Nothobranchius furzeri: one gene and its partners. The protein of the gene in region 2 interacts with the protein of the main gene of each other region in a pairwise test. Links are inferred from orthologs where the notes say so. Each region holds a gene or a part of one and is shown on either strand. Other genes may lie near its edges. The genes, in order: mapk8ip2, lrp2b and C-Jun-amino-terminal kinase-interacting protein 1.

Region 1 (3,191 bases), on a different chromosome or scaffold from region 2:
ACATTGGTATGAATTTATATACAAAAGAATCATCCACGGCTCCCTCCACTAGCAGGGAGCGGCCCGCCAACTTTGAAGTCATAAGTCCGGGTCATTTATCATTAATCCTGCGAGTCATTTTAGCTAATTTCTCAAGAAAATAATAAGAAATATGAAGATGTTGCAAAGTAGCCCTTTAAGTAAAAATGTGCAAATTTTATCATGTGTCATTCACAGCCGAGTAATCTACTAATGTTTAGGTAATGATTGTGGGTTCTCTCTCTCTCTCTCTCTCTCTCTCTCTCTCTCTCTCTCTCTCTCTCTCTCTCTCTCTGTCTCTCTCTCTCTCTCTCTCTCTCTCTCTCTCTCTCTCTCTCTCTCTCTCTCTCTCTCTCTCTCTCTCTCTCTCTCTCTCTCTCTCTCTCTCTCTCTCTCTGTGTGTGTGTGTGTGTGTGTGTGTGTGTGTGTGTGTGTGTGTGTGTGTGTCCTGCAGCAGTAGTGCATCACTAATTAGATAAGGGAGGAAGGCAGATGTTCTGGTTCCAGCTAGACTTGAGAGCTGCTGGGTGGCTAACAATAATCTGATCAGAAACCACCTGTGCCCATTGTTGGGGTTATTAGGAAGCGAATAATTTGTAAGCTTTTGCTTACTTTTGGATTCTTCAATAAATTCTGTAAATATGGGAATATTTACGGATGTATTAATTAATTAAGATACAATTAGGTATCGTCGGGGCACCACCCATTCTAATTAGAAAGGGAAATGAATCCAAAATTATTATCAGTCTATCTGAAATGTCCGTGGAATCCTAGGAGCAGAGATTTTCAGTCAACACAAAAAGTCACTTGAGACAAAAATCTGAATTTTATAACATTTAATTAAACAGGGATTAATAATGTAAAACAATTTGATATAATTGAAGATGTGTGTGTATGAAATCAGACCATGTGTGTGTGTGTGTGTAATCAAATGTGTGTGTGTGAATGAAGGGCGTATGAATGGGTCTTTGTTTTCCCAGGTGCGCGGGGAGTGTGTGTCCTTGGGATGTGCTGTAAGCTGTGACAAAACTCTCTCAGATGCAGACAAAGGAATTAGCTTGCATTTAGTGGCTTAAAAATTACAGTGTAACTGAACTTAAACACTTCAAAAGTTAACAAAACAACAAAGGTCACTCGTAAATTATTTAATCTAAACAGAGTCGATGCAGCCTGGCCACAGCTGACCGACAAACCCAGGTTAAATAAATAATAAACAAAAGATCTTACTTCACGGTAGATGTATGACATATTTGGTTACGAAAAAGAGAAAAACCGGAGCTACTTTTAAGCAATAGCGCGGTGTTATTGCTTGTTTGTGAACTATAAGAAAGGGGAAAGATAAGAGAGGAGATAAAATAAAGTCAAACTCTTGCGTGAGCGAACCAAAGGCGTCCCTTTGTTCTTTCGCGTTGCAGGTCATTGTTTCTCCGCACAAGTGTTTCTCCAACTGGCTGGACACAAAGAGAGCAAAGTTTCGCTTCGTGCTGACTTTATAACTTACAGCGTCTCCGTGAGCTTGTTGGAGCTCCGCTCGTTTCCAGCCAGGTTCTGATGGTTTCGGAGTTGCTTTTCCAGCGGCTCGGTGTTCGCACTCTTCAGCCCCCAGGCCTCGTGCACACGTTATTCGGGCCGTAGTCAGCGATCGTGTCCTTACAGCCAGTGATACTGGGCAAAAGAACGCTAAGTTTCGTTTTTAGCTGAAATGTATAACTTTCAGCTGGTTGTTGTTGTTGTTCGTGCTCCGCCTTGGCAGTGACGTCATCACATTGCTTCCGTGTGCCAAGCATCATGGGAAATGAAGTATCTCTGGCGCTGATGGTGGAATATGCTCGTTCAGAGCAATTTTTAGCACAGTCTTAGGAGAAAATCACTGCACAGTAATTTCCTTATGAGGGCAGACCCTCAACACCATGTTCTTGCAAACACACACACACACACACACACACACACACACACACACACACACACACACACACACACACACACACACACACACACACACACACACACACACACAAAATACTAGGACATTCACTGCTTCAAACTGACATCTTGAGGTCTTTTCCCTTCTGAATCAGTAGAATGGGGATGCTTTTATGCCTTTTATGCCATCCAAATGCACACTATTAACAAGATGTTGCTGCTTTCTGCAGGTTTATTCCCAGACATGCAGATGAGCTGGAGCTAGATGTAGATGATCCTCTCTTTGTGGAGGAAGAGGAGGATGATTATTGGTACAGAGGCTACAACATGCGGACAGGAGAGAAAGGGATCTTTCCTGGTTTCTACGCCCAAGAGGTCATAAGCCAGTTGAAAGAGTTGCAGGGTGAGTGGAGAGAAACTGCTTTTTGTCCCTTTCACCTGAGAATTCTCCCCTCCAAAAATGACGTGTTCTGTCTGACCGCTCAGGCCTAAAAAGGAATCCAGCATGGATCGAGACGTTCAGTGTTCAGTTTTTGGGGTCCGTAGAGGTGCCATATCACCAAGGCAATGGCATCCTCTGTGCCGCAATGCAAAAGGTAAGAAGCAGGGAAAATGTTAAAGCAAATGTAGTGATTCAAAACAACGCCACACCTTCTACATACCTGGCTCAGGTGTGAACTCAGGTCATGTGTGAAGCATGCGCTTTTTTTGTTTCCGTCTGTTAGATTGCGATATCGAGGAAACGTACGGTGCATGTGCGACCTCCATCCCTGTGTGAGCTGGAGATCAGCTTGCAAGGAGTTAAACTGATCATGAGCCTGGAGGACGACTATGACACCCTTGATGAGGTAACGATTAGTAAATCAATGAATCAGTTTGCCCTTTTAGTATAATATTACCTCTCTAGGGATTTGAACCTGAGATCTGCTCCATCCCTAGTACGACAGGTGTAGCCACTTCTTCCAGATGAAGAACATCTCCTTCTGCGGATGCCATCCGAGAAATAACTGGTAACCAAACCAGCCTTTTGGCCCTCGTGTTCCTTCTGAACATTGTGATATCTGACTGATTGCATCATTGATTTCTTCTCCCTGCAGCTACTTTGGCTTCATCACCAAGCATCCAATGCTGAATAGATTTGCTTGCCATGTGTTTGTATCCCAGGAATCCATGCGGCCTGTGGCTGAATGTGTCGGGTTCGTTCAGATTATTAGAATAATACTTACTTAGAATTTAAATCTGTTGTTATA
Region 2 (3,756 bases):
AGAGAGATGAGAGAGGAGCTGTGGTGCATGAAAAGGTCCGGAGTGGCGGAGAAGCGTTAGAGTGGTGCAGAACATGCATGAGAGCAGTGAGACAGCAGTGAAGTGCTGTAGGACTTAGGGTCTACAGAGCAACAGAGGGGGTGGAAAAGAGATGAAGAAGCATGTGGTGCAGGTTGGATGGAGAAAAGTGTCAGGAGTGATAAAAGGTTTCTGCAAGAATGAAAGGAAAGATGTAGAAAACAGCTGTGAGAGCAGCCATATTGTCTGGTTTAGAGACAGTGTCCATGAGGACAAGACAGAAGACAGAGCTCAAGATGTTGAGGTTCTCTTTGGGAGTGACGACGATGAATAGGATCTAATCTGAGTCCATCAGAGGGGCAGCTCATGTTAAATGTTCTGGAGATAAAGTCAGAGAGGCAAGACTGAGACGGTTTGGACATTTCCAGAGGAGAGACAATGACGAAATAGGACAAGAAGCTAGTAGACATGTTTTTATTTGATTAGCCATGGGATAGTAAAGGTTTTTTGACTATTTTCATCCTCCTGAGTGCCTAAGATCCAATTCTTTTTTGTATTGCTTGTATCCCTGAACTAAAGAGCACCAGAGGTACTCACAACCACTTCACACCCTGGAAGCACTCCATGCATTTTTGATGTTCATGCCTTAAAACATGTTTATTATATGTGGAGGTTTAGGTAAAATTAAACCTATAGTTCAAAGGTCAGTACTGTGTAAATGACAAACCTGGGTGTATCAGCCGGGCCCTTCATGTATCTACCAATATCTAATACACTGATCTAATGACCATCTAGCATCTTCTAGTTCACGTGGAAGCCAAAGATCTTAGGGGTCAGTTTTAGGATGCAAAGATTTCCATTCTATGAATTAAATGATTAACCCTTTTCACAAAAAAAAAAAAAAAAAAATATCAGTGATTTTGTTCTTATATCTTTGTTCTTTTTATCTACTTTTCAGATTTGCTTAAAAATCCAATTATTTTGTTTTAAAACATTTATGCAACCATACAGATTTTAAATGAGAGGTCAGAAATTAACTCATGACTCTGATGTAAAATTGTCATTAAATTATGTTTAATTTCAACAAAAAAAACGTATTCAACTTTTGTCTGTATCCAAACTATTTCAGACACTATTATATTTAATCTGACTTAAACCTTTCACATTCACCTTCTTGCCTCAAAAATACACCAACGTGTTTTTGCTGACGTGGACCACACATCCACAGGTAAAAGTTAATCTTAGATGAAGTTTATGTAAAACAGCAAGTCATAAAAACCTGTATAACTCTGTGTCACATTACTGATCTGCTGGTTGGTTGGGGTCAAGCATCTCAGTTCCAAAGTCGTTATCTCCTCCACGATCATTTGGGTTTGGGAGAGCCGTGGGTGCAGAGGGAACATGAGAGCTCAGAGCTGATCAAACTAACACCAGAGCTGAGAAACACTGGAGACGGAACGTGAAGGTTCAGTTATGGGCCTAAAAGGGCTTCATGTTTTGTCTTTACTGCTGCTGACCCAAGGATTTCATCTTGTACAAGGTATGTGTTTCCTTGTGTTTTTGCTGTATTCTAAAGCAAATATGGGTCAAATAAAAGAATAGGAGCTCTGAGCGATGGCCAGTGATGGCTGCAGGATAAATTCATGCTTTCTTCATCCTATTTGTTGACCAAAAACAACTTTGTGCATCAACATCATGGTATCATGACAACATTTGCTTTAAAGTTTAAACCAACTCAAAACTTATAGATTTAAATGGGAGTAAATTTTCTGTGCAGTCAGATACAAATAAACTACACGGGGTAAGTTAGAAGGTTGTGATAATCTGTAGAAGTTATAAACTGCAGTAATCTTAGATGGAAGCACACTTTATCAATATTAATTTACACTGATCTGTATGAAAATGTCTGCAATGTTTCTTTTGTTTTTGTCTCTCTGCTTTCCCAAACTGAAAACAAGTAATCCTGATGAATAATCTCTATAAATATAAATAAATCTGAATCCCAGAGTTATAAAAGCACATTTGTTCTTGAAATCTGGTCTGAGAGTTTAATATATTTCAGGATCACAAGATCGTGTCAATTCAAGGTGAAGAATTAACTATTCTTTAAAGACCAGATCACATGCCACAAGTTTCAGATACTGCACAAGAAGCAACTTTAACTGTCATAAACATGGTCGCTCACTCGTAAAACATAGGAAAATATGTGATGTTTTTACTGAGGTGACACGGACATCAAACATTTAATTTAATGCTATAAATTCTGTAATAAAACACTTTGTGACCTGGGCAAGTTCAGCAGCTTTGATATTGGATCTTGGTGCACAATTATTAAAAAAGAAACACATTTAGATTATATTTCTTATTGTTTTAAAATAATGTTCAAATGCTAAAATATTGTAAATGATAAATATCTGTTGATTTTTTTTTTCTGGTGTCATCTCTAAAGGCCATTTTCTACCAAACACAAAAACTAACTTAGGAGTTTTAAAAAAAGCTTATTTAGAAAATATATATTTTACTTGAAAGAAAAACTTGAATGAAGTTCAGCTCACACCATGCCCATCAAAAAATGAGTATAATTAAATGTCTGAGGGTTTTTTTTTTTTGCAGGAAGCTGTGGCATTAATGAGTTTCAGTGCACCAATGGTCAGTGCATTAGCAAAGAATGGCGATGTGATGGAACTAAAGACTGTACAGACGACTCAGATGAGCTCAACTGTCGTAAGTATTATAACCATCTGCAATATAGATGGCATCATTCTCAACACGAGCTAAAAATGTCAATTTTAAACAAAATACAATTGATAAGAGCTAAAAGTTTAAATTGAAAGTCACCTGACTAGCAGTTAAGTGATGTAAGGTGAATGAATATTGATTAAAAAATCACTTGTTTTGCTATTTTGTGGCAGCACCTCCATCCTGCACTTCACAGGAATTTAAGTGTGTGACAAGTGGAGAGTGCATCTCATCAGGGTTTGTCTGCGATGGGGAGGAGGACTGCGTCGATGGCTCAGATGAACAGAGAACCTGCGGTAAAATACACAAACCAAAGATTTTATTATGTTTTCTAAAGTGTTAAAATGTATGTTTACAATAATTTCTATCATATTGGTAAAAGGAATTAAATAACTGTAGATATTTTAGCTGAAATGTTTTAGAATCCACTAGATGGCAACATCGCCTCAGAAGTAACTATCTGTTAAACTAGAACGTGTCATATGTGCAAATAAAATGATTGCCATGATTGCAGTTATTTGCTGCCATAAGACTCGTGTTGAGATGATTTGCACCTGTCCTTTAAAGATATGTTCTTGTAGTTTTTGAACACAAATGCATGTGGTTTTCTAGACTCATTTCATGGTAGTAATAAAGACTTTAGTAAGAGTTGTGGAGAACATTTTAACTAAGTTCTGAAAAGTTTAGGTCATCCTATAGGTACGTCCCAAGCCATAACACATTCATTAAAACATATTAATTATGACCAATAAGATGTGATGATTCCATATAAATATGAAATATCAATCTGATTCATCTTTGAATGTTTAATCAGAAGATTCTAGGGTTCTTTGCTTCATCAGGGACCATAAACACACTTCGTATTAATTCAGACAGTCAGTACATAGTTTATAAAATGAATTTAATTATTTTTCCCAAACTAACATTTTATACATGACAAGATATGAATAATGAGATGTGATGTGGTGGATGTGAGATGTTGTGATGGAAGCTTGATGT
Region 3 (3,656 bases), on a different chromosome or scaffold from region 2:
ATCTGCCAGCCCTCCAGCCGTTCCGCTCTCCTACCGCTCACTCCCGCAGCCCACGCTACTGCAAATATCGCTATTAGAGGGAAATCACTGAATGCAAGTTCTTACTTTCACCACAGATGTAATACATCCTGCTTGCAACATTCTAAAACATGTTGCAAGCAGAGTATTTACAAAGTCCTAATACATCTTGCCTCGACTGAAAAAAAAAATCTCTAATAATAATCAGTGGTGTAGATATGCTTTTTGGAAACAGCACACAAATGATAAAATATTCATAACTAAAACAATGTTTTTCATTGGGTAAACATGAACAAATGACTCTTTGTAAACCAGTAGGGCTGTGTTAGTCTCATTTGCATGTGTTCTGATTCATTTACATAAAAACTAAGTAAAACAAAACATTTGCCAACTCAGTCCCTTTGCATTTATTCTGCTCTCAAAGGTCTGAGGCGGAGTTTTTGTTATTTGCAGCAGGTTGATTGTAAAAATGACAGGAACTTACTTGAGGAGTGAGAGCGCCCATTCATGAAGACGTTCAGGAACTTTTTGGAGAAATGCAGGTCTTCCTCAGAAGTGGAGTCTTCAGAAAGGCAAGCTGTTGCCTCCCTCTGCACCCCTCCTGTCCGAGAGTCTTGATCCTCATCCTCTTCCTCGTACTCCTCCCCAATGGCTGATTCGTAGGGCGAGGAGACGCAGTTGTCATAGACGGTGGCCGAGTCGCTGTCATCACTGTAGCCTTGGTAACACTGTCGGAGACTGATGAGCTCTAGCTGAGCATGCTCATCTACCACCAGTGTGTATTTGACTGAGTCATATGTTAAGCTGCTGGCCTCTGAGCTCATGGTAGTCCTTAGTGGGACAGATTTGCTGACACCACCACTGTCTCCCTTCCCTCCCCCCTTTGTCATTCTTTGGGCCATTATTATCCTGTCTACATCCTCATCCTCTCCACAATAGCTGTCATCTGTGGCATCCACATACTCGACAGAAGAGCCAGCTCGAAGCATGGCCCCTGTCGCTTTCAAGCTGAGGTCCAGGGCAAGAGACGAGTTAGGTGAAACAGCCATGCCAGGAGGTGTGATGAGAGACTCTACACAGGAAGCGTATGAAGGTGGAGGGACATAAAGTTCATCCTCTTCATAGATGGAGGGGTTTGTCCTGTCTGGAAGGGGCTGATAAGGAGGTGGTCCCTCTGTATCAGAGCTTATGGACATGCGTCCTTGTTCAGTCTGCTGTGAGAGGAAAGGTCGGTCCTGTGTGTTAGCGGGCTCTAAGAGGTCAGCGGAACGCTGCACTGGAGTCAGGTAAATCTCCTCTGTAGGCTCCAAATGAACATCTTTTTGGTACTGAATCCGTTCCCGATGGTGAGCAATACTATCGGCTTTACCCGCCGGGTACAGAGGAGCTGGTGTGTAGTTCTGTGGTGGTGGAGGTTGAGGAGGCTTCTCTTGTAGCTTGCAGCGCGTCACGGCCCCTGCACTCGAGCCATGCGAATGACCCGACGTGTGGCCGTGTCTGCAGGGGGCGTCGGTGGATGTCCCGCAGTCTTTGGTCTGTGCTCCCCCAAGCTGCACCTTGTCCTGATCGCCCAGACAGCTGTGCTCACGTGGAGGTGTGAGGTCACCTAAAGAAAGAGCAGACACAAGCAAAACCATGGAGATGGCAACACAAACAAACACACAGACACACAAGCATAAAGAGAGGCCAGACACACAGAGGTAAACACACATGATGGAGACAGAGAAATACACCAGCAGCCATGAGGATGAAAAGGCATGACACCGAACAAAAACACAGAGCAGAAAGAGTAGCAATGGTTAGGTAATGTCAGGATTACACAGTTAAATCCCTTTACACACCCAAATCAGAGCAAGGATGAGGTGAATGCTGAATTATGTCACATATTACGTCATAATCCATTGACAGGAAATCAAGTTAGTGTATTTTTCATCTTCTAGACACAGCAGAGATGTCTGACATCACAGAAAACTACCAGTGGTTCCTAGAGTTTGGGTCGGGACATCGCTGCAAGCGGCACAACTAAAAATTGGAGGCTTTGAGATGCAAATAAAACAGAGAAATGCTTCCTAAAATCATTTAGATTAAAACATGATTTAAGTGATTGCAGATGTAATTGATTTGCTTTTTTATGAAGCAAAAACATAAGATTAAATAAAAAAGGGAACAGATTAGCATTAAGAGAATGAGGAAATGCATTCAAGGTAGCCTAAACTGTCTGGCCAAAGAAGGTTTCACCTAGATTTAACTAAAGCAAATAGGTATGAGCTCCTCCAAGAGAACCGGTTCTTACGGCTCACTTAAATCAACCGGCTCCTTTGGCTCTCAAACGGCTTCTCATGTTTTTTTTCTTAAATTAACTTATTACCAGAAATTATACAAAACGGACTAAACTTAATTACTGATCTACAATATATTATATCAACTATTCATTATTTAGATAAGTTATTTTATTCAACACAAAGCAGAGAGCTACAAAAACACATTTTAAATGACAATACTAAACTCGACGTAAAACATTTATTAACTTTGAACCATTAGAGCCTGTTGGATATATTTTCTCTTTGCATATGCCACACTCTGCCTTTTAATTGTCACTGTAGTTAAAATGTGTCCAAATCTTGCTGCCTGTCCTGTTTTCACTCATTTCCTCAACTTTCTGTAGCGCTGTTTCTTTTCTTTTCTCCTCTTTTATAAATTTGTCCTGACCAATATTTGCAGGTCTCATCAGTTATAGTAATAATTGTCCCAGGCTTTTTGTGTGCGCCACCCATCTCACCGCTTTTACAGCAATCTGAGGTGTGTGTGGGTTGGGTTGGTTCGTTGGAGTTTTTGACAACTGAAATTGCGCCCACATTTTCTAAGTTAAACACATCACTTTTAACAACGGTAGTTTCTGCTTCAGCCATCTCCCCCCTCCCCCTGCGCAGCGGCCGCAAACTCACTGATGCGCCTGCAGCCTCTCAGAGTTTCTGCTGCTCTAAACATTAAAAAAATTATATCATTTTCTGTTCCTCACTTCTGATTACCTTCAATGGTGTCTGTTTGTTGCAACCACCAGGTACAAAAACTAACTTGATTTTATTTAACTATTTTTCTGTCCTGCCTGTTTATTATCGTCCTGCATCTCCTCTCAATCCTAAAGAAAAACTGCTACCTGGGTTCATATATATTCACCTCATGAGTTACCTTTGAACTGCAGTTCTAAAAGATCTACCGACCGCAAAAACAGCGAAGTGCGCGCTGCGCGCCGGCCGCACCAGTGCGGTACATCACCGGAGGACTGAACAGGTGATGCGCTCCGCTCCACAGCAGTGAAAAGCATCAGGCACAAATAAAAGACAGAAAACATTAAAGGAAATGAGCCGACATGAACAATCGCATGTTACATTTGTTTTTGAGGTGGCGACACCTAATTTGATAATGTTACTGTGGCCGTGCTCAGGACGCAGATGTCTGGAGCGCGTCAACGATCAGAGTTTTGCATGTGGAAGCTGGTTAAGGTTAGGATGGGGTTGAGAGGAAGGTTAAATTGCAAGAGGGTAAAGGTCACAATTCAGTCAAATGTCCGTTTTACGGTGGGCATCAGATACCAACGCTCTGGCACAGCGCGTCGCCTCCCAACGTGCAGGGTCTCT

Evidence for each region.
Region 1: the proteins of lrp2b (region 2) and mapk8ip2 interact in a two-hybrid assay, tested with the Homo sapiens proteins (2 studies listed by BioGRID). The link is inferred for Nothobranchius furzeri from reciprocal best matches to the Homo sapiens genes LRP2 and MAPK8IP2.
Region 3: the proteins of lrp2b (region 2) and C-Jun-amino-terminal kinase-interacting protein 1 interact in a two-hybrid assay, tested with the Homo sapiens proteins (2 studies listed by BioGRID). The link is inferred for Nothobranchius furzeri from reciprocal best matches to the Homo sapiens genes LRP2 and MAPK8IP1.

What each region holds. Positions count from the first base shown.
Region 1 is NC_091744.1:72,512,120-72,515,310, reverse strand, and holds part of mapk8ip2 (C-Jun-amino-terminal kinase-interacting protein 2), read left to right. Parts: intron 1-2,171; coding exon 2,172-2,344; intron 2,345-2,427; coding exon 2,428-2,537; intron 2,538-2,666; coding exon 2,667-2,789; intron 2,790-2,880; coding exon 2,881-2,951; intron 2,952-3,038; coding exon 3,039-3,137; intron 3,138-3,191. UniProt on the Homo sapiens protein: The JNK-interacting protein (JIP) group of scaffold proteins selectively mediates JNK signaling by aggregating specific components of the MAPK cascade to form a functional JNK signaling module.
Region 2 is NC_091756.1:35,644,822-35,648,577, reverse strand, and holds the start of lrp2b (low-density lipoprotein receptor-related protein 2), read left to right. Parts: upstream 1-1,329; 5' UTR 1,330-1,491; coding exon 1,492-1,558; intron 1,559-2,631; coding exon 2,632-2,742; intron 2,743-2,930; coding exon 2,931-3,053; intron 3,054-3,756. UniProt on the Homo sapiens protein: Multiligand endocytic receptor. Acts together with CUBN to mediate endocytosis of high-density lipoproteins. Mediates receptor-mediated uptake of polybasic drugs such as aprotinin, aminoglycosides and polymyxin B.
Region 3 is NC_091749.1:49,773,032-49,776,687, reverse strand, and holds part of C-Jun-amino-terminal kinase-interacting protein 1, read right to left. Parts: intron 1,625-3,656; coding exon 503-1,624; intron 1-502. UniProt on the Homo sapiens protein: The JNK-interacting protein (JIP) group of scaffold proteins selectively mediates JNK signaling by aggregating specific components of the MAPK cascade to form a functional JNK signaling module. Required for JNK activation in response to excitotoxic stress.